Astyanax mexicanus: one gene and its partners. The protein of the gene in region 1 interacts with the protein of each later gene in a biochemical or structural test. Links are inferred from orthologs where the notes say so. Each region holds a gene or a part of one and is shown in the gene's direction. Other genes may lie near its edges.

Region 1 (10,502 bases):
TTTCCTTGCCACTGTCGCCTTTGGCCTCGCTCACAGGGGGATTTATGAATAAAGTATTAAGGAGACCAGCCTGGGCACAGTCTTGATAGCTGGAGAAAGCCTGACAGCTAATATAAGAAGAACAAGAAGAAGATCAAGAAGAAGAAGAAGAAATAGAAAAAGAGGACTAAGAAGAAGAACAAGAAAGAGCTAATATAATATAAAAGCTAATATAACAAGAAGAAGATCAAGAAGAAAAACAAGAAGAACAAGAAGAAGACTGATTCGGGCCCGTCGTTTTCTAAAGCCACACAAGCATGACCAAGACTAGACAGGGGTTTGCACTGTAGACAGCAAACTAATGTGATTAAATGTGATTTTTTTCATCAATAGTTTATGACCTGAGGAGGATGGGTCCCCCCTGTGAGTCTGGTTCCTCCCAAGGTTTCTTCCTCCAGCTTTGAGGGAGTTTTTCCTTGCCACTGTCGCCTTTGGCTTGCTCACAGGGGGTTTTATAAATAAAGTATTCAGAAGACCAGCCTGGGCACAGTCTTGATAGCTGGGAAAAGCCTGACAGCTAATATAAGAAGAACAAGAACAAGAAGAAATAGAAAAAGATGACTAAGAAGAAGAACAAGAAAAAGCTAATATAATATAAAAGCTAATATAAGAAGAACAAGAAGAAGATCAAGAAGAAGAACAAGAAGAAGAACAAGAAGAAGAACAAGAAAGAACAAGATCAAGAACAAGAAGAAGAACAAGAAAAAGAAGAAGAATGAGACGAAAAAGAAGACTGATTCGGGCCCGTCGTTTTCTGAAGCTACGCAAGCATGACCAAGACTAGACAGGGGTTGAGACTGTAGACAGCAAACTAATGTGATTAAATGTGATTTTTTTTTTCATGAATAGTTTATGACCTGAGGAGGATGGGTCCCCCCTGTGAGTCTGGTTCCTCCCAAGGTTTCTTCCTCCAGATTTGAGGGAGTTTTTCCTTGCCACTGTCGCCTTTGGCTTGCTCACAGGGGGTTTTATAAATAAAGTATTAAGAAGACCAGTCTGGGCACAGTCTTGATAGCTGGAGAAAGCCTGACAGCTAATATAAGAAGAACAAAAAGAAGAACACGAAAAAGAGGACTAAGAAGAAGAACAAGAAGAACAAGAAGAATATCAAGAAGAAGAAATAGACAAAGAGGACTAAGAAGAAGAACAAGAAGAAAAAGAAGAAGAAGAAGACTAATTTGGGCCCGTAATTTTCTGAAGCTACGCAAGCATGACCAAGACTGAACAGGGGTTCAGACTGTAGACAGCAAACTAATGTGATTAAATGTGTTTTTTTTCATCAACAGTTTACGACCTGAGGAGGATGGGTCCCCCCTGTGAGTCTGGTTCCTCCCAAGGTTTCTTCCTCCAGCTTTGAGGGAGATTTTCCTTGCCACTGCCGCCTTTGGCTTGCTCACAGGGGGTTTTATAAATAAAGTATTAAGGAGACCAGCCTGGGCACAGTCTTGATAGCTGGGGAAAGCCTGATAGCTAATATAAGCAATTGATTCTACTGCCCTGAGAGAAGTTTGATAGCGACCACTGGTCATCAGAACTCCAGAACTTCTCTAAAATCTTTTTGACCTCTCTGTTTATTTAAAAATTAATAATAAAAGTGTTTATCAAACAGTATGTAAGTGAATGAGAGTCGTTTTTGTTCCTCATCTTATCAGTAGAATAATGCTGTACATCAATACAAATACTAGACTTTTACTTTTTCAGCATAAACAATGGCGTGCTAATTTTAGAATATGGAAAACACATCTTGGTGTAGTAGTAACTTATTAAACTTTTTTTTAACTCAATATAAACTCAATATAAAAATATCAGTATTGCAAAAAAGTGTTTTTGTGTGCATTATTACAACTAATACAGCAATTAACCCTAAAAAGCCCACATCATTTCTAAAAACAACACATCCCAACAGTTAAGCATTGGAGGGAAGATCATTGATGCTTCAGGCTCCTGGGCTCATGTTTATAAAGCAAAATTAATGGACAGACCTCAAAAACTCATCACTTGCAAGATGGGCCATGAATCAACAAGCTGTTTGCAAAGGACCCCAACCACCCACCACAAACATGAATTGACTAAATAAATGAGTGCTGATCACAGTTTTTTGCTTTTTATATACATCAGACAATTCAAATTTATTCATTTTTTCTGGAAAATAAAATATGTATATCCCTATAACGCCAAACGTATCATATTTGATACATGATTTTTTTGAGCCCTCCAATGAGCAGTGTTACAATTGTTTCCCTAAAAAACTCAATCGATACTATGAGGTACATGCAGTGCACTGATAATTCAGGGGGCATCAGTCATGATAAATAAACAGGACTGAGCTCTTCCAATCACCTTTTCCTTTTGGCAACCACTTATTTAATATATTTTAGTGCCTTCATGAATTAATAAATATATTTCTAAATAAAGTAAAGTTGTTCATGTAAAAAAAGAATAGTTGATTGTTGGTTATTTGTTGGAGTATAGGGGGTATCGCCTTCCCTTGTAACGATGGGAGCAGACGGGAGGCGGACGTAAATGCGGGTAAGACAGACTTTAATAAATAACAAACAAACAAACAAGGTGAAAACGAGAACATATATAAACATAAACAAACAGGAAAAACAAACAAAGAGCTAAGCTGAACAGATAATAAACTAAACAGAGCTAGGGATATAAACAAGGGATAAATACGTAAATATATACAGGTATAAACAAGGAAACAGACAGGAAGTAAACGTGACAGGAAATAAACGTCACAAACAACAAACTAGAAATAAACAAGAGAGTGTAAATACAAATAACCAAGGAACGAGGAATAAGCAAAAACGTGGCGAGACAGACAACATGGGAAGGTGCAAAGACCAACAGCAAACATAGACTAAAAGGGACTATTTATACTAACATGAAACAATGAACACCTGGGGGAAAGGGCGGAGCTACAAATTACAGACACGTGACGGAAAATTACAGGGGAAACACACTGGGAAACGCAGGAACACAGGGAAACAGAGCGAGGGCGTGACTTCCCTGGCATTTTGCTGATATATACAAGACACTGCGGATTGAGGAACAATAAATACCTCCATACCTTTAGAAATAGTAGTTGTTCCATCCATCTGGCACCTACTATCAGAGCTCATTCAAACTTATAATATGATAATTCACATCACCTTGCTCTGAGCACACTGGCCATCTCACACACAAGGTACTACCTCACCCTATACAAGTGTGTGCATTACCAAGACATAATGAAAAATTAATATAATATTATTCCATGATATAATCCATCTTTTTTGCATTTGATAAAGTGCTTGATATTTTTATAAAGGCTCCAGTTTAAAAGAATTGAAATTGTATGTCAATTATTTAATGGTTTGGGCTTTACAGGGATATATATGCTATTTACAAACTCATACAGACAAACGTAATCTAAAGCAATCAATGTCTTCCATTTGAGGTGTCATGTGAAACAGTTCATATTATAATAAATGACCATACAATGTGATCTCACTTAATAGGAGATAGAATTATGGCGAGAGAGAGCGGGGTGTTTGCAAGGGGGGAACATGCAACTAGTCAAATGGCTTGTTGTCTTCACATGAAACGTGAAATCACACCCTTTAACTCAATTTAATCGGTGTAAAAAATAGCATTCATCAGACAAATTGCTTGCCCTAAATAAAAAAAATGCTCAAATGCAGCTAAAATGTCTGTAGCATTCAGTTATAGATTGTTTTGTGGGTTCAGAAACATTCCAAACACTGCTCTCTATCTGCACACCTGTATAAACTACCTCTGCAGAAGTGTTCACATACCCTTCTCATTTAAACGAATAAAATACAAACAAGAAATACATATTTAATACAAATAAAGTTTAATGCAAGTTGAATCAGCCAACCTAAAATTGATATGTACAAAAATATCTATTCTGACTCTGGAGATCAGTCGAGTAAAATGAGTGAGCACCTCCACCAGTGGACATATTACAATATTACAACTGTATACAAATTATGAATATGAATGTAAAATTAAAAGAAATGAAAAAAAAATAATAATAATACATTTACTTACTGCTCTGCACCATATAGAGAGTGACAGTTTAGAGCAGTCCTGCAGTAGCTCTCTAAAGCTTACCTGTAGATATAAAGAAAACAAGTCAATTCTAAAGGTTATTTTTGGCTAGTTCTTAAGCTATATATTTTTTTTCTAATTATTTACACATGCTTCCTCTGATACACGTGAAGTCAGCCACCACTTCTAAGGTTGACTTACTTTAAAGTTTTTTTATTTTACAGTTGTAGACACACAGTCAGCCTCCAGGTGTCGCCAAAGCCTAAAATATACATCTAAAAGGTCTGTAGCCTGCAGTTATAGATTGTTTTGGGGGTTCAGAAACATGACAAACACTGCTCTCTATCTGCACACCTGTAAAACGACTTCTGCAGAAGTGTTCACATACCCTTCTCATTCAGATGGCAGCCAGATAGATAAAATGTAGGTGACCAGTAGCTTAAAATCACATAATTAGATAAATACAATCAAATAATGCAGACGAAGAATATAGATAGATATACAAAAGGTATAAAATCTTTGGTAGAACAGAGCAAAAGTGCAAGTTGTATACAGCATAAAGTGTCTAGGTGCCTATATACATGAATCTATAAATGGAAGTGAGGGATATTTCTGATCTGGTAGTGGAAGGTAGTTTGTTTCTCCATTGGGGAATTCTGTATGAGAACAGTCTGGATTGCTTTGTGTGAATGTTTGGTAAAGTGAGACGACGTTCATTGGAGGAGCGCAGCGGCCGGGAGGTAGCGTAAGCCTTTAGTAGTGACTGCAGGTAGTAAGGAGCTGTTCTGTCATCACCTTCACCTTCCTGGTTTTCGTACAAATGTATCCCATAGGAACGAATGGTAATATGTTCATTATGTTCACATTCGTGTGTGTTTTTCAGCTATATTGTCCAAATGCTTGATGACACCATCAAGCAATACCTAAACAGTGACCTCGCAACAACATAGCAAAACCATAGCATCCACCATGGAAAGTTCTGCATGATTAAAACATCTTTTTTATAATCAAAGTGTGATTATCACCCATACCTTTATATCAAATAAAATAAAAAATAATATTAAAATACGTATGACTAAGTCACACGCCATTTTTTTAAATAGTGGGAAAATCTCTTCATCAGGTCAAGCTCAGGCAGACTACAATTTTTTTTATTATTATTATTTTTTATTATTGTTTTTTTTTTTGCAAACAAACAAAAACAAATGTGGGATTTAAATAAAATGTAAAAGATTACAGATATCAATTGGGTTTATGACATTTTTCTTATTATTTTTATATTCTTTATTTTTTTATTTTTTATATATTTGAAAATCGTATAATTGCATAGGTCCGAATAAACAAATGTTCGGAATGAGGGTATTTACCTACAATCTAGCTTGTATCCAATAAGAGTGGGAGAATGACGAGAGGCGTGGCTCTGGGTGTGGAGAGAAAAACTTTTGTCCAATCAGAGTGTAGGAAGGCGGGGCCGGTGTGAGGGCGGGAGGGGAGTCAGCGCGCGCTGGAGGCTGGAGGTGAGTCAGAGCTCGGGGGAAAGTTTGAGAGAGGGTGAGCGCGAGCTGAGCGCGGCTGGATTATTCGCGCGCGCGGAGATGACTGCGGGATGGCGGTAGCGGCCGCGGGTCCCGCGCAGCGCGCGCACAGGAGCGGGTTCGTGGAGGTGCTCGTGCGCGAGCAGTGGCACCGCGTGTTCGCGAGTTTGGGCGACGAGGCGCTGACCCTGAGCTGTGAGGAGAACGGGCACGCGCACGAGCATGTAAACGGCGAGGCGGATGCGGGGGCGCGCGGCGCGTTCACGGTAAGGTCGGTGTGCGTGTGCGTGCGTGTGCGTGTGTGTGTGTATGAACGGGAACGCGTATTCCTGACGTTAACTACTCTGTTGAGTATTGTAAGTATGTGCACGCACGGAGGGCTGAGCAGGAGTATTAGTACTGCCGAGTAAAGTGGAGTAAAGTTTTTTATTCCGTGAACATTTAATTAAACTCAGACAGGTAAACTCTGGGTGGATTGGTGGATTAAAGGGCGCAGGTAAAAAAAAAAAAAAATACATGTTTTGGTCCAGAGCCTCCCCATGCTGACTGAAGTGGGGTGCCCAAACTTTTGACCAAGATATGGTTTATTCCAAAGCTTTTTCATGCACAAACTGTACTGAAAAGGTGTGGAAACTATTAATGTTACCGTTCATTACTCTGTAGGTAGAAGTATAGATACTAGAGTTTTAATAACTTCTGTAGGAGTAAAGTATCAACTTAAGCTTTTTACCCAAGTAAGAGTACTGTTTTCAAAACTACTTAAAGTATAAAAGTAAAAGTAATGTAGGGTGAAGAAATACCATTAAGGAAAAAGCCACAGGGTCCTATAGTGCACATTTTCTAGGGGTGTGAGGAGACACTAATATCACGAGACGAGACGGGACACGATATTGGGTTCACGAGAACAAGACGAGATTTAAAAATGAAATTTTAAAGAAAATGTCAAAAATGAAAAATGGCTTGAAAACGTTTATTTGACAAAATTATATAACGCAAACTTAACAGACTCTCACACACTGATTCTATAAGAAATATAAATAAGAATAAAAAATAAAAAGAAAACTTTTCTAGGTCTTATATAGTGCAAACAATAAGTGCAAACCACAACCAGTCATATTAAGCCTATGGTTTGTGTTTTTTCTCCTAAATCTCTTGTAATTTAACTATGCATAACCACAACCAGCCATATTAAGACTATGCTTGAAGTGCAAACAGATATACAGTACAGAGCTAAGGGATTAGTACAGCTGCCTATGAAACAGTCACGTGTAGGATTTACTTACAGTATTTATATATGGTTTGTGTCTTGTTTATTGTTTCCACTGGAGCCGAAATGCAGCCAGATATACAACTTAAAAGTAGCAGCAGCATCTTCTATACAAACGCCCAAATTTTCCTCTTCTGCTAAGAGCTGCTCTCGCTGCTCAGCCATCATACTCTATTGCTATCGCTACTGAGTTGCCAGATCCCTCTTAAAAAGTCCACACTTAACTGTTTTTTTGCCCCGCGAGACAGTTTTAAGCCTGACGAGAAATCTCGTCCGTTTTAATCTTGCGAGATCTCATGCCACCCCTAACATTTTCTAAAGGCCATAATGACTATAATGTTATATTAAAATATTAAAGTTGATAGATTTGGGTAGTAGATTTGCAGTAGACTCCCTGTTTTAGTTGCATATATGCTCATTGAAAATGAATGTATTTGATACAATGCAAATATATTAAAGAAGCCTGGTTAGATGTTTGGCTTGTGTTCTGTTGAGTCTCTGCACGGATCATCTTTACACTAGACTACATGTGTCTGCTGTGTTCTTGCTGGAGTGTGACGTGATAGATTGCGAATAAACCAATAAGTTGTTGGAATGGTATGTTTTTATGCTTTTTTCATTCAACCATATTCAAATTCACTTTATCCAGATGGGACTTTTATCCCATTTTCTCCCCAATTTACAAGGCCAATTACTCAACCCACTCAGTAGGATTCCCCCTATTACTAGAGATGCTCCAACACACCAGGAGGGTGAAGACTAGCACATACCCCCTCCGATACATGTGAGGTCAGCTACCGCCTCTTTTCAAACTCCTGCTGATGTAGCATTGTCGAGTAGCATCACAGCGAGCTCGGAGATAAGTGCAGCGACATGGTTGCTATACATTACAGCTCTCAGACGCCTTGTGCTGACCTTTTGGAGTTATGTGGGGGGAGAGCCCCCTAGAGAGCAAGGCCAATTGTGCTCTCTCAGGGCTCCAGCAGCTGATGGCAAGCTACATAAACGGGATACGAACCAGCAAATCCCGATCATAGTGGCAGCTCCTTTGTCTGCTGCACCACTCAGAGCCCCTGGATGGAGAGATTGATCTGGATAGGTTTTTTTTTTTTTTACAGTGAGAAAGCGGGATGAAAACAAGCTGAAATGAAATAGGAGTATCATGTCTATTTTAAAACATGAAAAATAATAATTACTCCAGTAAAGTATAGATAACCCAAATTTCTTTTTAAGTAAGGTAACAAATATTTGTACTTTATAATTTGAAACCTCTGTCTGTTCTAGAGTGTTTGCTGACATGAGGTACCCAAACTTTTGCCACGAAGCTGGTTGGTCCAATATTTCCGCCATGTAAAATGGAAAATACTGGAGAGCTCGCTGACTTGTGCCTTGAATGCTGATTTATTTGAAACTCCTCCATATACATGCTGTACACAAGAGCAGTGAACAGAAAGAGTGCTGCACGTGTTCTGCAAATCTATCAGACGATTTTATAAAAAACAACATCCAAGATTTAAAACTGTGTGATGAATTTTATGATTCCGCCAAATTAGATTTTTGTACCTTAATATATTTGGCAGCTACAGATGTTTAAAATTTGGGTCCAAAATTTCTGAACGCACTTAGTGGACTGCTCTGTGTTGCCAACACCTAAACTATGTGTACTGGCGAAACACTAATTTAAGTTAACACACTTTTTACATCAATATAATATTTTTTTGACATGGAAAATACTGCTTACATATGCTGTGCATATACTGCACACATGGTAATGTTTACATTGGAACAATTACATTTAGGCCTGTCACGATAACAATATTTTCAGGACGATATATTGTCCCAGAAATTATTGCGATAAACGATAATATTGTCTTTTTAAGGCACCACTATAGAATTTTTTTTCCTGCTTCTGGGCTCCCAAAGGTGCTTAAAGACAATGTGCCACACTAATAAAATACTAGCATAATACTATTACACCATTTTACAGTTAAACTAACTTTATATTATTTAGAGCAGACATTAGGCTCCCAATATAAAAATATTTTAATATTGTAAATAACTAAAACAAATAAAGTACAACCACCTGTACAACCACCCTGGCTTCTGAAAAACTGCACTAAATATTAAACAGACCCTTATTCAAAAAATAAAGTAACAACAAATAGATTAAAGTAACATTTACATTAATTATTTTTTATAAAACTCTGAACACATGGGCCCTTTTTCTGATTATATATGTTTAATATGCTGTAAAACACACATTAGCTTAGTCCATATGATCGAAGACAAACAGATATCTCAGCAGACCAGAGCTCTTGCTATAAATGTATTTTTTAATGTAACTGTCAGACAAATTCTGAGCAAAAAACACCAGCATGTTTAGCGTGTGGGGCTTGAGGCAGGATCTCTCTGGAGAAACAATTTTTATATTCAGTATTCAGCTGGATTAATTGGGCTGGATGGTTGTGTTTTAAATAAGATCTCCGGTATTACCAGCTTTTGTTTCCATTGCTGTGAAACCTTGTAAACATACCAGCTGAATCGCGCTGATGGTTCTCCTCGCTCATTTGGCTTAAAGCCAAAATACTCCCAAAATACTCCCGCACTGGAGCCACGGAATACGGCTTTAAAACTTCCTCAAAGGTTCTCTAAAGCTGTTTAGTTTTGAGAAAGTCCAATTACCGTACGATAAGTCGATAACATAGTTATCACAACAGGCCTAATTACATTACAACCAACATAAACATGAAGAAAGGGCAAATTGTGTAATAAGTGTAAAATCAAATATACTTCAGCTAACTACTGTTTACTATTAGTAAGATGTTTTTCTAATTTTGTCATTTATAAAGAATCCAACCTGTAAATTAGCACATACCTTCCTCTTCCTCTCTCTCTCTCTCTCTCTCTCTCTCCTTTCTTTTCTGGTTTCATGATGGCTGAAGTTTCATATTTTGCCAGCTGCGGGAATCACAAACCTGGCTGGCTGGCAGGCTGCTGTCAGCAACAAGTGGGAGGGGCCCCTTTGAGGGGGATTCTGATTAGAATGTCATTGGACTTTCCTGCATTGATCATCACAGAATTAAAGGCGGGCCCACAGAGTTTGTCATTGCTTTCAGAGCAGCTAATGCCCTAATGGATTGGTTTGCTTGCCTTGTTGTTACGGGCCTGAGTGCAGTAATGCTTTACTGTTGCAATCTCTGCCCGTTTAACCACCATCACATTCACTTCAGGTCGGCCTTTACTGCTTTTATAAATGAGCTGCGAATTTTGGCACAAAGCTAGTTGTTTAATATATCCTCCATGTAAAAGAGAAAGTACTGAAGAGCTCGCTGACTTGTTTGGTGCCAGAACCTTTGCCTAGAATGCTGGTTCATCTAAAACTCCTACATATACATGCTGTCCTGGAGAGCAAAAAACTTTGTCCAAATTTTAAAACTGTGTGATGAGTTTAAAGTTATGAGGAGTTTTCAGGTTGCTATTAAAATGAAATGATTTTAAAAATCAGCTGTTACTCGGGGCAGAACATTTTGCCTCGTTTTAGACGATGTGGATGAACTCTCACACACTGGAGTTCTCAGGAGACTCAGCTCTTACCAAAACTC
Region 2 (10,834 bases), on another chromosome or scaffold:
TAATGACAATAGTATAGTGACTGTAGTGCCTCTAATGACTGTAGGTGTATCATTACAACATAATGTTGGAATAACTCTGGGGTAATATTGTGACTGGGGATGCTATGGTGACTGTAGGTGTTGTGTAGTGATTATGTAGTGATTTAAAGGGTTAAGTAGTGTAAGTCCTGTTGTGACTAGGCCTTTTTTGTCCATCCTAAAAATGCACCATTATAGCAAGTCAGTGTATTCTCTCTCTCTCTCTGTGCAGATGATGGGGAAGCAGGATGGTGACAACTACACACTGGACGACATGTTTGTGTCAAGTGCTGCTCAGAAGGAGCGGGCAGGGCTGGATGAAGATCGTCAGCGCAGCAGGGCGAAGGAGGAGGCGCGCAGACTTGCTGGACGTCTGGAGAAATGCCCCTACTGCTTCACCAGCCCGGAGCTGCCTAAACACCTCATCATCGCTATAGGATCGAAGGTACACACTTCGAGAGCCTTCATTGATTGGATATAGTATATTAAATTAGTGTCCAGCCCAGAGTTTTAATCACATTCCCAACACTGAGAGGAGTACGTGTCTAAGTGTCTGCTCTGTCATCAGGAGATCGTACAGTAGGTCCAATCCCAAATGATGCCACAGCCATCCTTCAGTGACATGGAGTCCCAGAGAGCATACATACACATACACTTTTCTTTTTCTCCTTCTGTGTGTTTAGGTGTATCTGAGTATGCCGAACTGTGTGTCTCTGACAGAGGGTCACTGTGTGATCGCCCCACTGCAGCACCACTGCTGCTCTACTGGGCTGGACGAGGATGTGTGGAGCGAAATGCAGGTACATATATATATATATATATATATATATATATATATATATATATATATATATATATATATATATATATATATACACACACACTCCATCATAATAATATTTGTAGTAAAAGTCTCTGTTATTTGGAAGGGATAGATCATATAGGACAGGAAACCTGAAATGGCATTTATTATTATCCTTTACGCTTCACATAACAAATAAATATAAATGACAATATAAATCCAGCAATCACATGGGGTCTGCGTACGTACAAAAACATTGCGTAGGCCACATTTCATCTCACCCTCAGATGCACTAAATGTGATTTGAATGTGAGTGTTCATTTCAGTTTCATTTCATACATGCGTTTTTAGTGTGTTTTAGTAACACTTAAGGGCGATGCATTGAAATTGCAAACAAGAAATGATTGTTTTGTGCATACAGAAGTTTTCAGATCTGAGGCCCCTGCCCTTTTCTGATTGGATGGACTTATTGTGTTGGACGTGTTCATTTGCATATAGTTCTCTCGATTTAACATTAGCTCGGCTGTGTTTGAAGAAACTGATTTTTCCCAATGAAAATGAATGGGATTTATTGCGGAGCAGTATAAATGCAACCTAATCCAGCACTGTATCTTCACTCAGAGCTCACGTCTCCATACACTGACTGTATAACAGGACTTCTCCAGCTTCCCTCAGTGGCTGTGTCTGCTGTTTACCTGTTGTTTGTGGTGTTATTGTGTTGCAGGTGTTCCGCCGGGCACTAGTGCGAGTGTTCGAGGCTCAGGATCTGGACTGTGTGTTTTTAGAGACGCACATGAATCCAAAAAGGCGCCTGCACCTGCTGTACGAGTGTGTTCCACTGCCACGAGAACTGGGAGACATGGCACCTGTTTATTTTAAGGTCTGTTTCTTTGAGCCTTTTTTGACTAGCACCTGGGTGTGCTTTCTCCGCTGGTTTGTTATGTTGGGTCTGTGAAAGCTGCTTTTAAACCTGCAACTGTGGTTAATTTTGTAATATGATGCTTGAACTTAGAGTGTTGCTTCCTTTTTCATCTGTAGATATAATAATATCTAATGCCTAATAAACCCACACTGTGACAGGACTGGAGCGAGGGTATTGTAATAACCTCAGCTTTGTAGAGTGAGTGCGGATACTGACAATAGTCAGTCCTGCTGGAAAATGAAATCCGCATCTCTATAAAAGTTGTCAGCAGAGGGAAGCATTAGGTGCTGTAAGATTTTCAGGGAAAACACTGCACTGACTTTGAATTTGATATAACACAGTGGACCAACACCAGCAGATGGCATGTCTCTCCAAACCGTCACTGATCATCAGTAAATTTTGGATGTCATTTGGAAATCAAGGGAGCAGAGTCTGGAGGAAGAGTGGAGAAGCACACAGTACAAACTGCTTGAGGTCTAGTGTGAAGTTTTTATAATCAGTGATGGTTTGGAGAGACATATCCAATACAAATCCTACGATCCTATACATAGAAAGTGACTTTGTGGAATTGTGCTATTGGGAAAAGTTTCGGGAAAGTTCTTACATGTGAAAGCAAGGCAGCGATAATGAGCCCAGTCTTGGATGTGGATTAATTTATTCTTATTTACACACATCAGTACTACAAATAAGCATAAATGTGTTTAATATTATTGTGTATATATATGTGTTTGTTTACAGAAAGCTCTATTGGAAGCTGATGAGGAGTGGGCGATGAATAAGAAAGTGGTGGACTTGTCCTCCAAAAACATCAGACAGTCTGTGAGAGCTCTTTCTTTTTCTATAATTTTTTCTACCTTTTCTTTAGTTCTATCTGGTTTTTTTTTCTCGTCTGACAGTCTCTTCTCTCTCTCTCTCTCTGTGCAGGTTCCTCGTGGTTTGCCATATTTCTCAGTAGATTTTGGTCTGCAGGGAGGATTCGCCCACGTCATTGAGAATGAGCAGAAGTTTCCTCACTACTTTGGGAAGGTCTGTCTCACGCATGCACGCACAAACCATTATATACATACAAGGACTGCACAATATATAGTTTAAGCATAGTCACTGCAATGGGCACATTGTGCAATGTCATCTAGAGTACCAGTCAAAAGTTTGGACACCTTCTCATTCAGTGTTTTTCTGTATTTATTTATTTTATAAATTGTAGATTAATATTAGAAAGGGACACATATAGAATTACATAGTAAACAGTAAAAGTGTTTATCATCCACAATCCCCTGATCTAACCCTTATCAACTGAGATGTTGATTTGAGGTGATTGGGGATTAGCTGGAGCTTCACAGCATGAAGGAAAAGCAGCAACTATTGTTCAGCATCTCAGAAACTCCTTCAAGACGCTGAGAAAACTATTCCAGGTGACTCTCCCTCATGAAGACACTGAGATTAAAAAAACTGGAGTGTGCAGATCTGTCTTCAAAGATAAATGTGCTACTTAGAAAAATCAAATGTATAAAACAAATCCTGGTTTAACACTTTTTTTGTTTACAGAGCTTTAATATAGTCTTCCATATTAAATTTACAATGTAAAAAATTATAAAAAAACATTGAAGGAGAAGAGCTGTGCCCAAACTATTGCAATAAATGCAAAAATTTGGTCAATAAATGATGCACCTTGCAACAACCTTCTGTTGATGCAAAATGAAATTCCCACTGTTCCAATATTTTGCAGTGATCCGAACAATATAGTTTGTGTCTGATCAATAGAATGCATAATTAAAGAAAGATCTGGTGTATATATTGAAAAATAACAAAATTATTATTATTTTATTTTTTATTTTTTACATACATTAAATCCCTACATACACAGTATGTCTGACTGCTGCGTTATCCTGCAGGAGATTCTGGGTGGAATGTTGGACCTGGAGCCTCGGCGCTGGAGAAAACCAATCCGAGAGAACTTTGATGATCAGAGGAAGAAGGTCCTGGAGTTCTCTCAGTGGTGGAAACCATTTGACTGCACCAAGACTGACAACTAGATGCTTCCCACCAACTGTGCTTGGTTCAGTTAAAGTTAAATCACACCATTACTCTCGAGTTATATTGTTTTACAGAGATCCTCCTGTTGCCATGTGCTGATGTAATGTGATAAAATGATTTTATAATTAAAGTGTTCTTATAGCTCCTAAATTATTGTTCTTTTGCATCTTCATTTTAAACACCTCACAGTGTTATTGTTGTTATGCAGGGTCACTGTTTAAATCAAATATATATATATTTATTGCTTTTAACAACTGATGATATCGCAAAGCAGCTTTACAGAAATGTAAATGTAGGACAGAGAATCAGACAAAACATTAAACATACAATACAGAACCTCCAGTGAGCAACAGAGGCAAGGAAAAACTCAATCAGAGCTGGAGGAGGAACCAAGACTCACATGTACCTTGTATAGTAACACACACTATTAAGGCTAATATACTAATGCATCTAAAAATAGAATATCATTGAAAAATTACTTAATTTCATTAATTCAGTTCAAAATGTGAAACCTATATATTGTATAGATTTGACTTTACTTGATTTTGCCAATGAAAACCCAAAGTGTCTCAGAAAATTTTAATAATATATAAGACCAATTCGTACTTTTGGCATAGTGGGCAGCGTGCCAAGTCCTGCTGGAAAGTGAAATCTCTATAGAAGTTGTCAGCAGAGGGAAGCATGAAGTGCTGTAAGATTTTTCAGGAAAACAGTGCACTGACTTTGGACTTGATATAACACAGTGGAGCAACACCAGCAGATGACCTGTCTCTCTAAACCATCACTAATTGTGGAAACTTCCCACTAGACCTCAAGCAGTTTGGACTGTGTGTCTCTCCACTCTTCCTCCAGACTCTGGTCCCTTGATTTCCAAACAAAATGCTGCATTTACTGATGGTTGATGATTGGTTTGGGTGATGAGTCAGGGTGATTGTAAAGGTCAGAGTAAACAGGTGGTGGAGTATCATTAATTAGCATGTGCACACACAGACATCATGATGTATGGATTTATTGACTGTGCTGTTCCTTAAGCCGCACACACACAGCCAAGTATTATGAAGGTGATTGATTCATGATATCAGCATCCTTTGTAAGATACAATTCTGCCTGACACACACACATACATGCACACGCTCACTCATACCACACCTACGAATGCACAAAGGTGGTGTCATGGCTCACTGGCCAGTTTATTGGAAATACCTACCTTGTCTCTAGCTGTGCATGTAAAGCAATAAGAGAAAGGTTTCTGAAAAAGTAGCCAGTGAGTGTTTATCTGCACAGACAGAGTAGTCTGTTCATATGGTTGTGTGTGTGTGTGTGTGTGTGTGTGTACAGTGAGGCTGGGAGAAAGTGGGTCAGCATCAGGAGCAGAGAGATGCAAGGGGAGGAGGGGAGGTGATGAAGAAAAAAATGACCTAAAGGCAACACACACACACACACACCCTACACACTGCTAACATGACCTGACTATCAACTCTGACTATCCCCATGTTTTTCCTCTATTTTCAGCATATACAGTCTCGGTGCAGGGTTTTTGTCAAATGCTGTCAAAGCATTAATAATAGCCTATATATAGCCTTCCTCTTTTATTACAGAGAAGTGCATCCCTGCCCTTTGTCATACAACAGTTTAGCTCCACCCATTCAGCCTACAGCTGTTTAGCCCCACCTATTTAGTCTACAGCAGTTTAGCTCCACCCATTCAGCCTACAGCAATTTTGCTCCACCCATTCAGCCTGCAGCAGTTTAGCCCCACCCATTCAGCCTACTGCAGTTTAGCTCCACCCATTCAGCCTACAACAGTTTAGCCCCACCCATTCAGCCTGCAGCAGTTTAGCTCCACCCATTCAGCCTGCAGCAGTTTAGCCCCACCCATTCAGCCTACAGCAGTTTAGCTCCACCCATTCAGCCTACAGCAATTTCGCTCCACCCATTCAGCCTATAGCAGTTTAGCTCCACCCATTCAGCCTACAGCAATTTCGCTCCACCCATTCAGCCTACAGCAGTTTAGCTCCACCCATTCAGCCTACAGCAGTTTAGCTCCACTTATTCAGCCTACAGCAGTTTAGCTCCACCCATTCAACCTACAGCAGTTTAGCTCCACCCATTCAACCTACAGCAGTTTAGCTCCACCCATTCAACCTACAGCAGTTTAGCTCCACCCATTCAGCTTACTGCAGTTTAGCTCCACTCATTCAGCCTACAGCAGTTTAGCTCCACCCATTCATCCTACAGCAGTTTAGCTTCATCCATTCAGCCTGAGAAACGTCTCACACTGACTGACCTTCTTTCTCTCACTTTGACTTTCAGTCTCTCTCTCAGTCTTTACACGAACTTTATCTCTATATCTATATCTATTCCTCCCTTTCTTTCAGTCTTTCTCTATTCCTCTTAAGGTCTCCCTCTGTATCTCTCTCTATTTCGTTCTCTCTTTTTCTCAGTCTCAGTCTCTCTCTGAGTCTCCCTCTGTATATCTCTCTCTCCTTTTCTTTCTTTCTCTTTGTTTGTCTCTCTCTCAGACTCAGTCTCTTTATTTTCTGTCTGTCTCCCTCTGTATCTATAGCTCTCTCCATTTCTCTCTCTCCATTTCTCTCTCTCTCTCTCTCTCTCTTTCTTTAGGAGTGGGAGGGGTCAGTATCTCGCGCTGCTGCTGATGCTGCTGTAGGGAACCTCGCGCCGCTTTTCTCTCTCTCTCTGATCCTCGTGCGTGCGTGTGGATGAAAGCCCGCGCGCGCGTCCGTGATGCGGGACCGGCCAGTGCGCGAGCCACGACATAACACAACGACGGACCGCGCGCGCAAGACCCCGGAGCCGCCGCGTGCGTTGCGTTGCGTGAGATGAGCGCGTGACCCCCGCAGCATGTCCACGCGGAAGGTCTCGTCCGAGTCGTTTAGCTCCGCGAGCTCGGAGTGCGTGGAGAGCCCTGAGCGCGCGGACTGGCCGGACTGCCCGCTCGCGCTCTGGAACGGACGCAGCCCTGTGCGCGCGGCGCCCCGGCGCAGGAGGCGCGTGAACCTGGACTCACTGGGGGAGAGTCTGAGGAGACTGACATCACCCACGGTAACGCACGAGCGAGTCTGTCAGTGTGCGTGTGTGTGCTTGTGTGGAAATGTGTGTTTGTGTGTGGAAATGTGTGCGTGTCATTGTGTTTGTGTGTGGAAATGTGTGTATGTGTCAGTGTGTTTGTGTGTGGAAATGTGTGTGTCTTTGTCTGTGTGTGGAATGTGTGTGTGTGTGTGTGTATGTGAAAATGTGCGCATGTGTGTCAGTGTGTTCGAACCTTTGTGTGCGTGCTAGAGTCTGGGCGTGTGTGTTTAAACCTATGTCTGTGTGTGTCTGTGAGTGTGTGTGTATGGCATCTCCGTGCTCCCTGTGTAGTGTACACTACATGTCATACAAGTCCACAGTCTGCAGCTTTCAAGTGTGCAGATGAAGTCGGGTTGTGTCCCAATCCTCCTGTCTCGCCTCCTCTACACTCCGCTGTCTTAGAGGAAGACTGGATTCAGCTCTGCAGTGGAGCACTCTGTCTGACATTCGAAGTGTGAATGTTTATGTTGTAGAATGAGTGTGTTCATGAGAGACAAACAGTACAGGAGATAAGTGTGTGTGTGTTTGTGAGTTTTATGCACTGTGTATATATGCTAGGTATGTGTGTGTGTGGGGGGGGTGTAGAGTAGTGTGACAAGTGTAGAAGGGTTTAGAGTAGTGTACGAAGTGTAGGGGACTGTAGAGCATTGTGAGGAGTTTAGAGTAGTGTAAGGAGTGTAGGGGAGTGTAGAGTATTGTAATGAGTGTAGACAAGTGTAGAGTAGTATAAGGAGTGTAGGGGAGAAGTGTAGAAGAGTTTAGAGTAATGTAAGGAATGTAGGGGAATATAGAGTATTGTGAGGAGTGTAGAGTAGTGTGCAAAGTGTAAAAGAGTTTAAAGTAATGTAAGGATAGGGGAGTACTGTGAGGAGTGTAGAGTAGTGTGAGAAGTGTAGAAGAGTTTATAGTAATGTAAGGAATATAGGAGAGTTTAGAGTAGTTCAGATGAGTGAAGAAGAGTGTAGAGTAGGGTGAGGAGTGCACAGTAGGGGGAAGAGTGTAAAGGAGTGCACATTAATGTGAGGTGTGGAAAAAGTTTAAAGCAGTGTACAGAAGTGTAGATTAGTGTGAGGAGTGTAGAGGGGAGTGTACAGTAGAGTAGATGAGTGTTGATTAGTGTTGAGGAGTGTAAGGAGTTTTCAATAGTGTAAATGAGTGTCATTTAGTGTGGAGGAGTGTGAGGAGTTTTCAATAGTGTAAATTAGTGTGAAGGAGTGTGAGGACTTTTCAGTAGTTTAAATAAGTGGTGATTAGTGTTGAGGACTGTGAGGAGTATTCGGTAGTGTAGAATTACCGGTAGTGTTGATTTGTGTCGAGGAGTGTAGAAAGTGTAGCTGAGAATAAAGAGTATTAGTGAAAAGAGTACAGAAGAGTGAATTCTGAAAAGCAGATGAGTGTACAGTAGTGTGGGTAGTTTAAACGATTGTAAAAACTAGATGAGTATATAGATAAATATGAAATGTAGTGTTAGAAATGTAGAGAAGAGTGAATTCTGAAAAGCAGTTGTGTGTGCAGTAGTGTAGAGGAGTTTATAGAAATATCACTAGTGAGGATTGTGAGCACTATATATATGACTAGTGAGGATTGTGAAGAGTGCAGTGTAGTGAGAAGTGTATAGTAGTGTGAAGAGTGCAGTGTAGTGAGAAGTGTATAGTAGTGTGAGGAGTGTAGTGTAGTCAAAAGTGTATAGTAGTGCGAGGAGTGCAGTATAGTGAGAAGTGTATAGTAGTGTGAGGAGTGTAGTGTAGTCAGAAGTGTATAGTAGTGTGAGGAGTGAAATGTAGTGAGAAGTGTATAGTAGTGTGAGGAGTGTAGTGTAGTCAGAAGTGTATAGTAGTGCGAGGAGTGCAGTATAGTGAGAAGTGTATAGTAGTGTGAGGAGTGTAGTGTAGTCAGAAGTGTATAGTAGTGTGAGGAGTGAAATGTAGTGAGAAGTGTATAGTAGTGTGAGGAGTGCAGTATAGTGAGAAGTGTATAGTAGTGTGAGGAGTGAAATGTAGTGAGAAGTGTATACTAGTGTGAGGAGTGCAGTATAGTGAGAAGTGTATAGGAGTGTGAGTGAAGTGTAGGGAAGATGAGTACTGTTACCCCTGGCCAATTAAACAAATCGTGTACATAACCGTAGAGATGAGCGTATTAGAGTGGAATTGAAGCAGCTTTATAAGGCTAAATGTGTTATATGAGGGTTCCATAGTAAAGGTGATGGATACTCTTATAATTGTTCTATGAGGGTTCTTTAGTTAAGGTGGTGGTTCTGAACTTTTAATAGTGTTCTTTAGTGTATGAGTGTGTTATGTTAGTGTATTTGCTGCAGACTGGTGTGGTGGTCTGTGGAGGAATATGGGCTGATTTATACATCACCTGCATGCATTGCTGTGTGTTTGTGTGTGTGTGTGTGTGTGTGTGTGTGTGTGTGTGTGTGTGAGAGAGAGAGAATGTGTATGTGTATGTGTGAGTGTGTGTGTGTGTGTGTGTGTCTGTGTGTGAATGTGGATGTGGATCTCTCTCTCTTCTGACCTCTACCATCTCACTAGATGCTCTCTAACCAACCATGAAACACACTGCAGCCTGGCCCGCCGGCCACACACACACACACACACACACACACAGTTTTATATAATTTTTATGAGTCAGCGCCTCTGTCTGTGTCCGTCTGTCTGTTTGTGAGCTTATCTCTGCTTATCCTTCAAAACACACTGCCTGCATGTTAAATCTGCACCATGTGTTCCTGTGTATGTGTGCCTGTGCCTGTGCCTGTGTGTGTGTGTGCCTGTGTGTGTGTGAGTGAGAAAGAGAGGAAGACTAAGAATGTTTCTGCATTAAATCAGAGTTTGACCTTTCCATGCACTCAGTGTTTATGTGTGTTCTGGTTTTTGAGCGTGTGTACGTGCATATGTCAGTGTGTGTGTGCATGAGTGCAAAGAGACATGTAGAACTGCTCCTACATGCTGTAAAAGTCAAGTCCTCCCATTTTCTGTACTAATCTGACTCATTTGATTCATTGAGCGTTTCCAACAAATCAGCGCTGGAATTTCCAAAAGCATCTTAGCACACAATAATTCTTCAAGGGGCGAGCAAGCATCACACTGAACACTCTCTCTACCAGTTACGATGATGGCAACACCAACATACTTCTACAGAAAAATTGTTTTGCTTAAATCTTAGAGAAAAGGCATTAGACAAAAATGAGACACAAGATACTTCTGAGGTTACAGGAGTTAAAACACAAGAGAGTTTGATTTTAAATGCATTTAAGAAACGGGAAGATGTATTTGTGGCAGACCAAACCCAGGTGTCAAACCCTTAACATGGTCATCAATGGTCCAGTGCTCTAATTACTGAGCCACTGCTTTCCAGAAGCTAGCGTAGTTATTCAGAAATTAACAACTAAAGTGTTGTAACCCTAATTTAACACATTCAATTTAATCAACACAAACAACTGTCTAATCAGTTTTTACATTTTATTCTTTAATATTTTATTTCTTGAGCAGATATAATTTTGCTAAGAAAAAAAACATATTGCAGAAATAGGACCTAAAATGTTAATACTTCACATACTAAAACATAAATGAATAACTCAATTTTTTTTTATTTATTAAAAAAGAAACATTTACAAAGTAGCAATTAAGAATGCAGTATCTTGTATGCAAAAAAGTCTTTGGATGAGAAATAGTTGAGTTCACAGTTAAGTTCAATTCTGTCTTCAGTAAATTATTAACTAGTAAATTATTATTGTCTTATTATTGTGGCAAATCTGCGCACAGTGTGAGACTTTAGATCTATACTTTTTAATTAATCCTTGGTGTGTTTTGGGCGTAACGTGAAATAAACCAATCAGTGTGACTTAACAGTGCTCACCGTATCTAACAGTATCTTAACAGTGCAACGCTTTAGTGCTTCTCAGTAGAGGATACTGCATGGCTAAGATAGGATTGGACGGCTGACTGTTGACTGTTCCCAGGGATTTAA
Region 3 (10,753 bases), on another chromosome or scaffold:
TTTAAGTTGAAGGAATGAAAGTTCGGGCCTGTTATGTTAAACCACATTGCTACAAGGCTGCAAATCTCTAAAACATGCACAGGGAATTGATCACTTGGAAACAACAGTGAATTCTCAGGTGGTTATCACACTGTTTTCATTACTCCTGAATGGGGTATGAAGGAGGAGTATGAGTTTTCATCTGGTTTGTGCCCTGTTAGCACTTTCAGATGCACTTTCCCCCAGTAAATTACTTGAGAAAACAAATACTTTGCATTTGATTGAATTCTTCACACAGAAAAGTAGTGTAATATGAGAGCATATTGTTTTCATCCATCCTTAAGCTGGGCTTTCTATTCTGTAGTGCTCGTAGTATTGAACAGTTCTTTAGTCAGCAGAACTTTGGAGCTCTGACAGCCATTTCCAAACAGCTTGGCTTGGATTCCTCCACATTCAGATCCAGGACTTTTCTATGTAGGTCACTGCACTTACTCTCTCTCTAACATTTTACTAACAAGGAAGAGCCCTAGCGGTCTATGCCTACACTCAGTTTTGAGTGGCTGCTGGTTTTGCATAAAGAAAAAAATTATGGTATGACACTTGTTATGTTTTGCATCTAAACATGAAAGCAAATTTGACTCAAATATTAAAATACATGAGCTTTTCAAAACACTTTATTGTTTCTTGTTGCTACAATGTAATATGTTTACATTTAAACTATGAGTACTATATATTTATGTATTGTGGTACCATCTGGAATGGCAACACCCACAACTAATTTCATTGGTTACTGCTAATGAATTTCCTTATTACTTGCCTTATTTTTTAGACAGTGCAATCTTGATTAGTAAAGATCACACTTTTCTCATTGGCTTGTGGCACTATCTATTTGCATAGTGGCTGTGTGTTTCTTCCCTATTGCTCACCATCAGAGTTTTGTCATTCCCTCCAGGTTATCATCCCCTATTGTTTTATTATAATCTATATATAAGAGCAAGTTACCATGTACTGTGACATTAGGTTGGCTGAATGCTACAGTAACCAAGTATGCACTAATGCAGATTTGTGCCATGAGGCGTTATAGAGGTGGCAATAGATAATATAGCTAATATGTTAGTTATTAATGTTTTTGTCACAGAAGGGTATTTTGTGTACCTAGAATCATTTTGAATTTAATTATGTGGAACCACTGTCTATCAATAAATTCAATTTGTTGAAATATATATTTTCTAATGGCAGTAACTCGTGCAATGAGGGATGCTTCCCTGTTTCTTTTCTGCTTTTGTGTATTATTGGGGACCTTGTTTTTTGGTCACTTCTCCAAAAGTAACTGGTTCGGTCCTGAAAGGTAGGCCCCACTGATTGTATTATATGCTGAGTAATGCACCCTAGTTATGCTGCCTAAGCAAGGCCTTAGAGAAGCAATGACTTTCAGATATTATCACGTGAAATATTCGAAAATATCGAAAGCACAAGTAAGATGATATAGATATGCTAAGTGTCTAAAAGATTGTGGAAACCTGATCATTCGTTATTATCATTTCTATCTATTTGTGTCTCATTAAATCAGTCATACACACACTACTGTCCAACTTCTATCTGTGGAAATGTTTTCAGGGTGTTCGGAAGAAAAAAATATGAAAAAAATGATGAAAATTAAAAACAAAGATCCAAAGGAATCAATAGCGAACTGGTTTTAGCAAACATTTTGAAAATAGTATACAATTATTGGAAGTTTTACCTGGAATGCAGTCAGCCCAGTTCCAAAATCAGATTTGTGAAGTAGAGTGGAGTCAGCTAAAATGAGACACTTTTTGGTAAAAGATTTATAACACCATCAAAAAGGTCTGTATTTGATATAAGGGGGAAAACTTTATTTGTTTTGCAATTATAGGAGTTAGAGTATCAGTAGGTTTCCTGTTGAGCTATGACACAATGTTCAGATTAGTTGGGCCAGCTGTTTAGTTTAGTGAAATTTGGTATGCCAGAGAGAGAACAATTGGCCATACTCTCTCTGGGAGGGTAGATGGTGCTCTCTCCCCACATTACTCCTATTGTGATACTGGCACAGGCTTCAGTTGGCTGATGTATTAGACCTGGAGATCCGACACTTTCCTCTGAACATGCTGACTGACTCGTCAGTCAAGTGAATCAGTGTGTTTATTGAAAAACCTAGGACTAGCTCACAAATTAGATTTTGCATATTATGCTTATTTGCAAAAAATAGGCAGTCATTTATGACTCTATTGGCATTTTTAGTTTGTGATGACTGAATGAAAAAGAAAAAAATTACTATTCAATAAAAATGTTTGATTATGGGATCTTGTACTTGCTACTAATTGACCAAGTTTCATGTCTCTAGGCCTTACAGTTTGGTCTGTGCGTTCCATTTAAAGGCAGAAAGGAAATAAGCATAATAAAAAAACCCTAAAAAATCATTCTGTGCTCAAGCCCCTAATAAGTGAAGTATCTAATGAATTGGATTGCAATTTTATAGCAATATACCAAAAACAGTCCAACACAAATCATCAACCTCTAGATATCACAGGAATCCTCTACTACTAGAAATCATTACCGCCTCCTAATTTGAACACCGGCCCTCATGTGTCCACACATGTAGGCCTCAACACTCACTGGCCTGGTGAGTTGAATTATAAGGTATTATTTTGTGGTTGATGGTTTAGTCCCATTACCCTTTCCTAAACCACTAAACAAAAAGAAATGACCCTGTGAGTATAGCTCATTGTGTGTGGTGGTCATGATCATTTGTTGTTCGCCTTTACATGCAATGACACCTTACGCTGTGGTTTTAGATGAAAAGGAGCGGATTATCTGGTCGGGTTCTGCTACTGGGGGACTAAAAATACGCTGAGGGTCACCTCTGAAATCTGAAAAATAAAAACAAATTACTCAGACACAGTGACTGTGCTGTTTGTTGCTCTCCAATGGCATTGTACCTCAGTGATTTGGCTCCTGGTGTGCTTCTTGGTCACGTGACCTTATGGATCATATGTCATTTGTTCTAGTTTTATGTGATCTGCTTGCCTGGGCTTGCAGCAGTCTGCAAATTCTTACATCTAGAGTTTAAGAACATGCTAAACATCTGTGTGTTTGATGCTTATTTTGAGTTTATTTCTATGTAAAATCGCTAAACACGGTCTCCTTTGCTTTTGCATCTGTTTGCTTGGCACTACCATGTGTTTACTCCTCCAGGTATATCATGTTTCTTCCAGAAGAGATTAGGCCTCCTAATCTGAGCAAAGTAAACTCTTGAATATGGACGAGATCCAAGCGAAAAGAGACATTACACAGGTGCGCAGAAATCAATACAGGTCAATACAGAAATCTGCAGAGTTCATGTGCTGCTGTGGCAGTGACTGAGACAGAGGCCAAACAAACCCGTGTGTTTGTGACACTGGAAGCCGCAGCACACGAGCAAACACAGGTCATGTGGTCAACCACTAAGCCTGTTAAGAGTGACCAAGCTCAACGGGGCTATAGTGCCGAGTGGAGCGGACCACACAGACAAACACAGTGAATCAGTAAATGCTTGTTTGAGTTATTATGAATGTAGAATCTGGAATTTCACAAAATACAGGACTGAAGGAACTCTGAACCATTACAAACACATTCACTCACACACTCACACACTGGAGTCCACACAGTATAGGCAAACAAATCAAAGGAGCTTCTGTATTCAAATCACCAGTTTATAAGGAGAGGGCTGTTTCTGTTGAGTCTCTTTAAGTGGTGTATGTGCGAGTACAGTAGACTACAATACAAAGGCCTACTGAGGTCTCTGAGGAGCTGCTGGGTGAAGTCCATTATCTGCACCAAGGGAATTTACTTGTCCAAAAAGATTACAGTACATACTATATATCATTTATAAAATACTGCTACTGATTTTTATATGTAGGAGAATTAAAGAGGTTGTTACACAGAAGATCAGTATTTCCAGTTCCCATCCAGCCCCTAGTTTATCTAATCAAAGCTTCATTAAAGTACAAATCGGGTGAGCTGCTGCTGCTGGAGCAACTGAATAAACCCATAAAGTGCATAGAGTTCCCGAAAAAAAAAGAGTTTTTTTTTACAGCGTTCTCAGTTCTATGCAAGTCAAAGACCACTGTTTTACATACAGCCATTACATACAATACCAATTAAAAGTTTGGACATACCTTCTTATTCAATATTATTTTACAATTCGTATACATAATTTTTTTATATAATACATTTTAAATAAATAAAAAATACAGAGCATATCAAAACTATGGAAGAACTATGGTGAATTTATGTATTAAACACTTAAAAAGTGTTTGTCCACCACATTAATCCCCTAATATAAACCTGATCAACTTGGGCTGGACCTTCACAGTGTGAAGGAAAAGCAGCAACTATTGTACAGCACCTCCAGGAACTCCTTCAAGACGCTGAGGAAACTATTCCAGGTGACTCTCCCTCATGAAGACACTGAAGATCACTGCAGATCTGTCCTCAGAGATACATGTGGTACTTAGAAGAAACTAAAGTATAAAACATATTCTGGCTTGTTTAAAACGTTTTGTTTACTAAATAATTCAGCATGTGTTCCTGTATAGCTTTAATCTAGTCTCTATAATTAAATTTACAATGTAAAAAAAATCATAAGAAAACATACTGAATGAGAAGATGTGCGTCCAAAAATGATAACTGGAGCTGTATATTAAATAAATAAGAGCATTTGGTGCATTTAAACTTAACTGAAATTGGGTGGATTAACACAACTGGGAAGTATGCTAAAAGTCTTGAGTATGAGAAAATGTAGTTTCGGGGTGAAAGGTGAGTTATGGAGATGTTTATAGTCTCTCTCTCTCTGAGTGCTGCTGTTATCTAACCCTCCCATCTGTCTGTCTCTCACTGCAGTACCGCCGCCGGCCTCCAGGCGCCGCTGTACACACCGCGCGCGCCGCCTGCACAGATCATGTAAACACGTGCACGTCAGCACTCCGCGCCGGGTCTGAGAGCGGGGAGCATGCGGCTAAGCGCTAATGCTGCTGTTTATTAAACATTTAATGAACGTTTCTGCTTAAAATGTCCATCAGGAGCAGCGAGCAGCCCGAGGACCCAGCACAGGAGGAGCGCCCGACCAGAGAGGAGCTCAACACCAAGGTGGGGTAACCAGACCACGGTGCTTCAGATCATTCAGCCTAGCTAACTAAATAGTGTCGTTCCAGAGTTTGTAGCCTGGCATAGCTTAGCTAACTAACTAACTAATCAACAAGTGTCCAGAGTGTGTAGCCTAGCCTAGCCTAGCTTAGCTTAGCTTAGCTTAGCTTAGCTAATTAACTAACTAACTAACTAACTAACTAACTAACTAACTAACTAACCAATCACTGTCCAGAGTGTGTAGCCTAGCCTAGCTAACTAACTAACCAGTGTCCAGAGTGTGTAGTCTAGCTTAGCTAACTAAGTATCTAAATAGTGTCCAGAAGGTGTAGCTTAGCCTAGCTAGCGTTAGCTAACTAACTAACTAACTTGTGTCCAGAGTGTGTAGTCTAGGCAAATGACATAACTAAATATCCCTTTATAAAGTTTCAGGGTTTATTTATCACTTGCTCAACAAGTCAACTCAATGATAACTTTTACGTAGATGATAAATTACCCCAGAAATAGTTATAGTAAACCTTAATATTGAAATTTTAAATAATTATCATTTATTAGCATATTAACTAATACATTTATATGGAGGTGTGAGAAACAAAATGCCCACGACTTATAAAAGTGTGGGAATGAGAACCTAATGCGTGGGAACGGGATAAGGCATGGGCATTTTTTTAATACATGATGTCACCTTAGGGGCTCCATACATTTACATAAAAAAAATTAATGAAACCTCTGTTTTTAAACAAATTCACTATTCTGGCTATTCTGGACTAGTGCAGTTAGATCATTTTTTAGAGTACTGAACTTTTAATTCCTACGAATGTTCAGACATTTAAATTGAAATACAATGTTTATAAAAAAAAAAATCACCAGTATATCGGCGTATGTTTTGAACTTCTGATTTCACTTTGCAGATTAAGGAGCAGAAGGTTTTAGTTGATGAGCTGTCGAATCTGAAGAAAAACAGGGTAAGAAAACCTGCATAAGTGGAATACATTATATGTACTGCAACTGTAACATGTAATGTAATGTTGGCTTCTTTTAAGCACCAAGTAAACATATGTTCTCTGGAACAACATTTTTTTTTTTTTTACAGAAAGTCTACCTTCAGCAGCCCAACAGCAACATATTCTTCCTGTCTGACAAAGGAGAGACCTTGAGCTCCTGTAAAAGTAAGATTTTCATCCTTTTACAGCTGTATGTAGAGATAGCATCACATTTTCATTTGAAATACCAAAACATACATCAAAACTCTGTGTATACACAAAAAAAAGTGTATACATACTTGTATACACCGAAAACCGCATTTACACACAGTGTTATATAGGGCTGAGAATCGCAGAGCATCTCACAATACAATTTTATCACGATATGTTGCTCGTGATAAAAATGATGTCATGATATTGTGATTCTTTGTTACTTGATGTATCACAATACAATCCTCTACGCTGATTAGCGCCACCTCATAGAGGAATGAAGCACTAACTTTAGTAAATTAAATTGGCGGGCGAGTCTTAAGGTGTTTAAATCGTCTGAGTTTCAATAAAATAAAAATAAATAAAATTTGATCCTATGTATACGATACAATACAATACAATACGTTGACATTGATGCATTGTCCCACCCCTAGTGTAATATATGTGTGTACTTACACTAATGTTGCATACATAAATGAAGTAGTAACAGTTGATTGCAGTACAGTATATAGCACACAGAATGGAACATAATGCCAAGTTTCATTTTTCCTTTTCCACAGAAGAACTGGACAAAATGAAGAAGGATTATCAAGATATGTAAACCTTTAAAAAAAAAAAGAGCTGTATTCCAGCCAGAATGTGTGGGATCTGCTGTGTGGTGAACCTGAGTGCGTCCTCTCAATGTGTACTTCAGAAACATGTGCGTGAAAAGCTCCAAAACAGAGGACCCCACTCTAGCCGTGATATTACAGAAACAGCTTCACGATACAGCTGCCTTTTTTCTAGCCATGTGCTTCATATGAGGGGAGTGTTGACTCCCCAGCCTCTACAAGATGATGATGGTAATACTCTCCTCTGGAACGGTGAGGTGTTTGGTGGGTTACCAGTGGGAGCTGAGGAAAACGACACTAAAGTTGTTATACAGCATCTGTCTCTTTGTAAAAACCCTTCAGACTTATTATCTGTCCTCTCTCAAGTTAAGGGACCCTGGTCCTTTATTTATTACAGTAAAGTTAATCAATGTATCTGGTTTGGAAGGGATTTCTTTGGGAGGAGGAGCCTGCTGTGGAGCTGTGGGTCTGAGGAGGGCTCATTTACACTGACCTCAGTGTCTTCTCGCTTGCCAGATTCTGATTCGTCCAAGTGGCTTGAAGTACCAGCAGTTGGTGTTTACAGGTTGGACTTGAAAAGCTGTTCACAGGGTGGGAAGTTGAAACTTGAGCTCTATCCATGGGTTTATCTTGGAGATGAGCCTTCAAATGACTTCAGCTCTGAAGGTCTTCCCAGTTCTGTCTCATTGGTTATGAATAATGCTGGACTCCAGCTCAATTTTCCTGTTAATCCAATGAATACATCCATACAAGCAGTTGATTCTAATGATGAACCTAATCACACATTTTCTCTGACATCCTCTGATGACCTAAAAGAGTTTCTTCTAAAAAGCACAAAAAAACAAGAACTTGTGAGGAGCCTTATAGATGTCCTTAGTGAGGCCGTCCGCAGAAGAGTCCAGTCACTGCCCTATACTGATAATGTTAGTCCAACTGAAACACCAAAGTCAGATGAAGCACAAGTTGCTATACTCTTCTCTGGTGGAATCGATTCGATGATTCTGGCTGTTCTCGCTGATCGCCACATCCCTCCTGACAAACCAATCGACCTTCTCAATGTTGCTTTTAAGCTTCAGGAGCGTAAAATGAATCAGGGATCCAAAAAGAAACAACACAAGAACAAGAACAACGGCGAGCATGTCAATGTCAGTGTGAATGACATCACATCATCAGATCAGCGCACCTCAAACTGCTTCGACGTTCCAGACAGAATCACGGGTCGAGCTGGTCTACAAGAGCTTAAAAAGATCAGTCCTTCACGAAAATGGAACTTTGTTGAGATTAACGTCACTCAGGAGGAGCTGAAGGAAATGCGGGAGAAGCGTATCTGCCACTTGGTGCATCCTTTAGACACTGTCCTGGATGACAGCATTGGATGTGCTGTGTGGTTTGCAGCTAGAGGAACTGGAATCGTATCAGAGGGAGCAGAAGAGAAGGATCACACTTCAAATGCAAAGGTAGCTGCTGTTAATTTTTCCATAACATGTTAAAAGTAAAACCCTGTTGATGTCGCACAAAAACCTTGTATTGTCAGAATGACAACTGTACAAAAAACAAATCCTAATTTTCACATAAAAAATAAGTGAAAAAAAAAAGTCTTATTGGAGCATGTTTATTAGTTATTTAAATGTGAATTTGTGACACAAAAAGGAACAGTTCGGATTAGGGATGCATGCAGGCTTGAAAAACATTAGCAAGACATTGCAATAATTATTTTTCTGCTATGTGTATTGCAATTTTAAAAATACAAGAATTTTCATATGGCAGGTGGTTCTGACTGGAATTGGAGCAGATGAGCAGTTGGCTGGCTATTCCAGACACAGAGTACGGTTTAAGAACTCAGGTCTTGAAGGCCTGGTCAAAGAGCTGGCCATGGAGCTGGGCAGGATATCTTCCAGGAATCTCGGGCGTGATGACCGCATCATTGGAGATCATGGAAAAGAGGCCAGGTAAATCTGACAGCAGTGATTTTGTTTTTAAATTATGGTTTTAAATTATTATTCTTTACAATACCCTGCATATTTCCCATAAAATATATTATAGACCAAAATATTTTTGCAAAACAGTCCAATAAAAGATCTCTGGCACGAGTTATAGTATATGTAACCATGTCGTGCAATAATTTAGTGTGATGTAATTTCCGAAGCAATAAACATCTGGTTCAGATCACACTGGTTCAGACTGCACTGTGGACAAGTTTCACTTGGCAAGTTTCACAGCAAACCACTCTTAATGCCTTCACTTGTATTCTAACCATTTTGTGAAAAATGTGTGGAATTCCTCTTAAAAAAAGAGGTATTACACACATATATATATGTGTAATATGTGTGTGATTATCATACACAGTAATATCATTATAATTTTGGAACAAAACATAAATCAGTAACATGATATTTTGTCTTGAAAGTGGTCTGTGTGCATTTGTTTTGAAGCTTAAATGCTATTTTTGTTTAACTGTTTGTTTGCATAAATATGTTGCATGTTTTCACACTATAAGGCTCAGTAAATAAAATTATGTATTAATTCTACCAGTCAGGTATTAAGGAGCAGTAAAGCCATTCCGCTAAAGTACAGCATTATAAAGGAGTTTCAGTGAAATTTCTCCAGCTCCAAGGCTGGAGCATTATTAGCATTAGCTGCTAAATGAAACATGGCGACACCCCTGTTCCTTACTAGTGTCGCTTAATGCTCCTCATAATCCTGTGCACCTTTCGTATAAAAATATCAAAGTGTGATAGTGTGCTTTATAATCCGGTGTGCATTATGTACTAAATATAATACAAAGTGTTGGGGTCGATTTTTTTTTTTTTACATTACATAATCTTTCACCTTTTTGTTTTGTCTTATTGCCAAGAATATTCTTTTTGCAGAAATATCCTTATCTCCCACCCCAAACTCAAAATAATCTGAAGTGTAGAACATAATCATTAATATTTCTGTGCTTCTGAAATGTCATAAGCGTGTATTTTGTGTGTCTCTCAGATTTCCGTATCTGGATGAGGACGTGGTGAGCTTCCTGAACAGTCTGCCGGTGTGGGAGAAGGCAGATCTGTCTCTGCCCCGGGGAATCGGGGAGAAGCTGCTGCTGAGACTGGCCGCTGTAGAGCTAGGGCTGGGCCCCTCTGCTGTTCTGCCCAAGAGAGCCATGCAGTTCGGCTCCAGAATCGCCAAGTTGGAGAACAACCATGAAAAGGCATCAGATAAATGCAACAGACTGGTCACCAGTTAGCGCAGGCTTTCAAAAATCATGTTTATTACACAAAAACTCAATCTGTACATGTTTATAAAAAAATATTTTCCCCCTAAAGCTGCTTGTCATCAGTGAATTTGGGTTCCATTGTTCTCCATTCAGTTCTTCATTTACAGGAAGTTTTTAATCTGTTTCTGATTGTAATGAAATCTATAATAAATAAATGTCTGGATTTTTAAGTTGTTCCTTGAAGTATTTGTCACATTCTATGTAAGATGGAAGATTTCCCACGTCAAAACGTCCAGATATCCTGTAGACGTGCACAGGCCTCCTGAAAAACAAATACAGGTGGATTAATGCCAGGATGTGACTACTACTACAAAAAGTATATTAAAGTTTTATTTAGAACTTTTTTCATTTGGTATATAGTTTCATACCTTTATTAGAAACAAAAATGTATTAACTTAAGCAAACTCGGGATCTTGATAAGTGTAACAAAATATGTACCGAAAATAAAGTGCAACATATTTATAATAAATAACCTACTCTAACATGAACCATATTCATAGAAACTAATGTGATTAAGCACCTCATATTGGATATGTTGGTAGGTTCAAGAAACGTTAAAATATACCTTG

The links.
Region 2: the proteins of sntb1 (region 1) and gucy1a2 interact in a test that uses a peptide from one of them, tested with the Homo sapiens proteins (2 studies listed by IntAct, with this or other methods). The link is inferred for Astyanax mexicanus from reciprocal best matches to the Homo sapiens genes SNTB1 and GUCY1A2.
Region 3: the proteins of sntb1 (region 1) and asnsd1 interact in a test that uses a peptide from one of them, tested with the Homo sapiens proteins (2 studies listed by IntAct, with this or other methods). The link is inferred for Astyanax mexicanus from reciprocal best matches to the Homo sapiens genes SNTB1 and ASNSD1.

The regions. Positions count from the first base shown.
Region 1 is NC_064413.1:9,207,242-9,217,743, forward strand, and holds the start of sntb1 (beta-1-syntrophin), read left to right. Parts: upstream 1-5,613; 5' UTR 5,614-5,704; coding exon 5,705-5,899; intron 5,900-10,502. UniProt on the Homo sapiens protein: Adapter protein that binds to and probably organizes the subcellular localization of a variety of membrane proteins. May link various receptors to the actin cytoskeleton and the dystrophin glycoprotein complex.
Region 2 is NC_064425.1:12,485,171-12,496,004, reverse strand, and holds the start of gucy1a2 (guanylate cyclase soluble subunit alpha-2), read left to right. Parts: upstream 1-6,113; 5' UTR 6,114-6,637; coding exon 6,638-6,838; intron 6,839-10,834. Other genes in the region: cwf19l2 (CWF19-like protein 2), read left to right, coding at 251-463, 702-818, 1,545-1,700, 2,481-2,561, 2,667-2,768, 3,635-3,775. UniProt on the Homo sapiens protein: Has guanylyl cyclase on binding to the beta-1 subunit. Isoform 2 acts as a negative regulator of guanylyl cyclase activity as it forms non-functional heterodimers with the beta subunits.
Region 3 is NC_064418.1:43,503,807-43,514,559, forward strand, and holds asnsd1 (asparagine synthetase domain-containing protein 1), read left to right. Parts: upstream 1-6,214; 5' UTR 6,215-6,290; intron 6,291-6,874; 5' UTR 6,875-6,951; coding exon 6,952-8,382; intron 8,383-8,692; coding exon 8,693-8,874; intron 8,875-9,907; coding exon 9,908-10,154; 3' UTR 10,155-10,325; downstream 10,326-10,753. Other genes in the region: uncharacterized protein zgc:136439, read right to left, coding at 10,326-10,446, 10,750-10,753.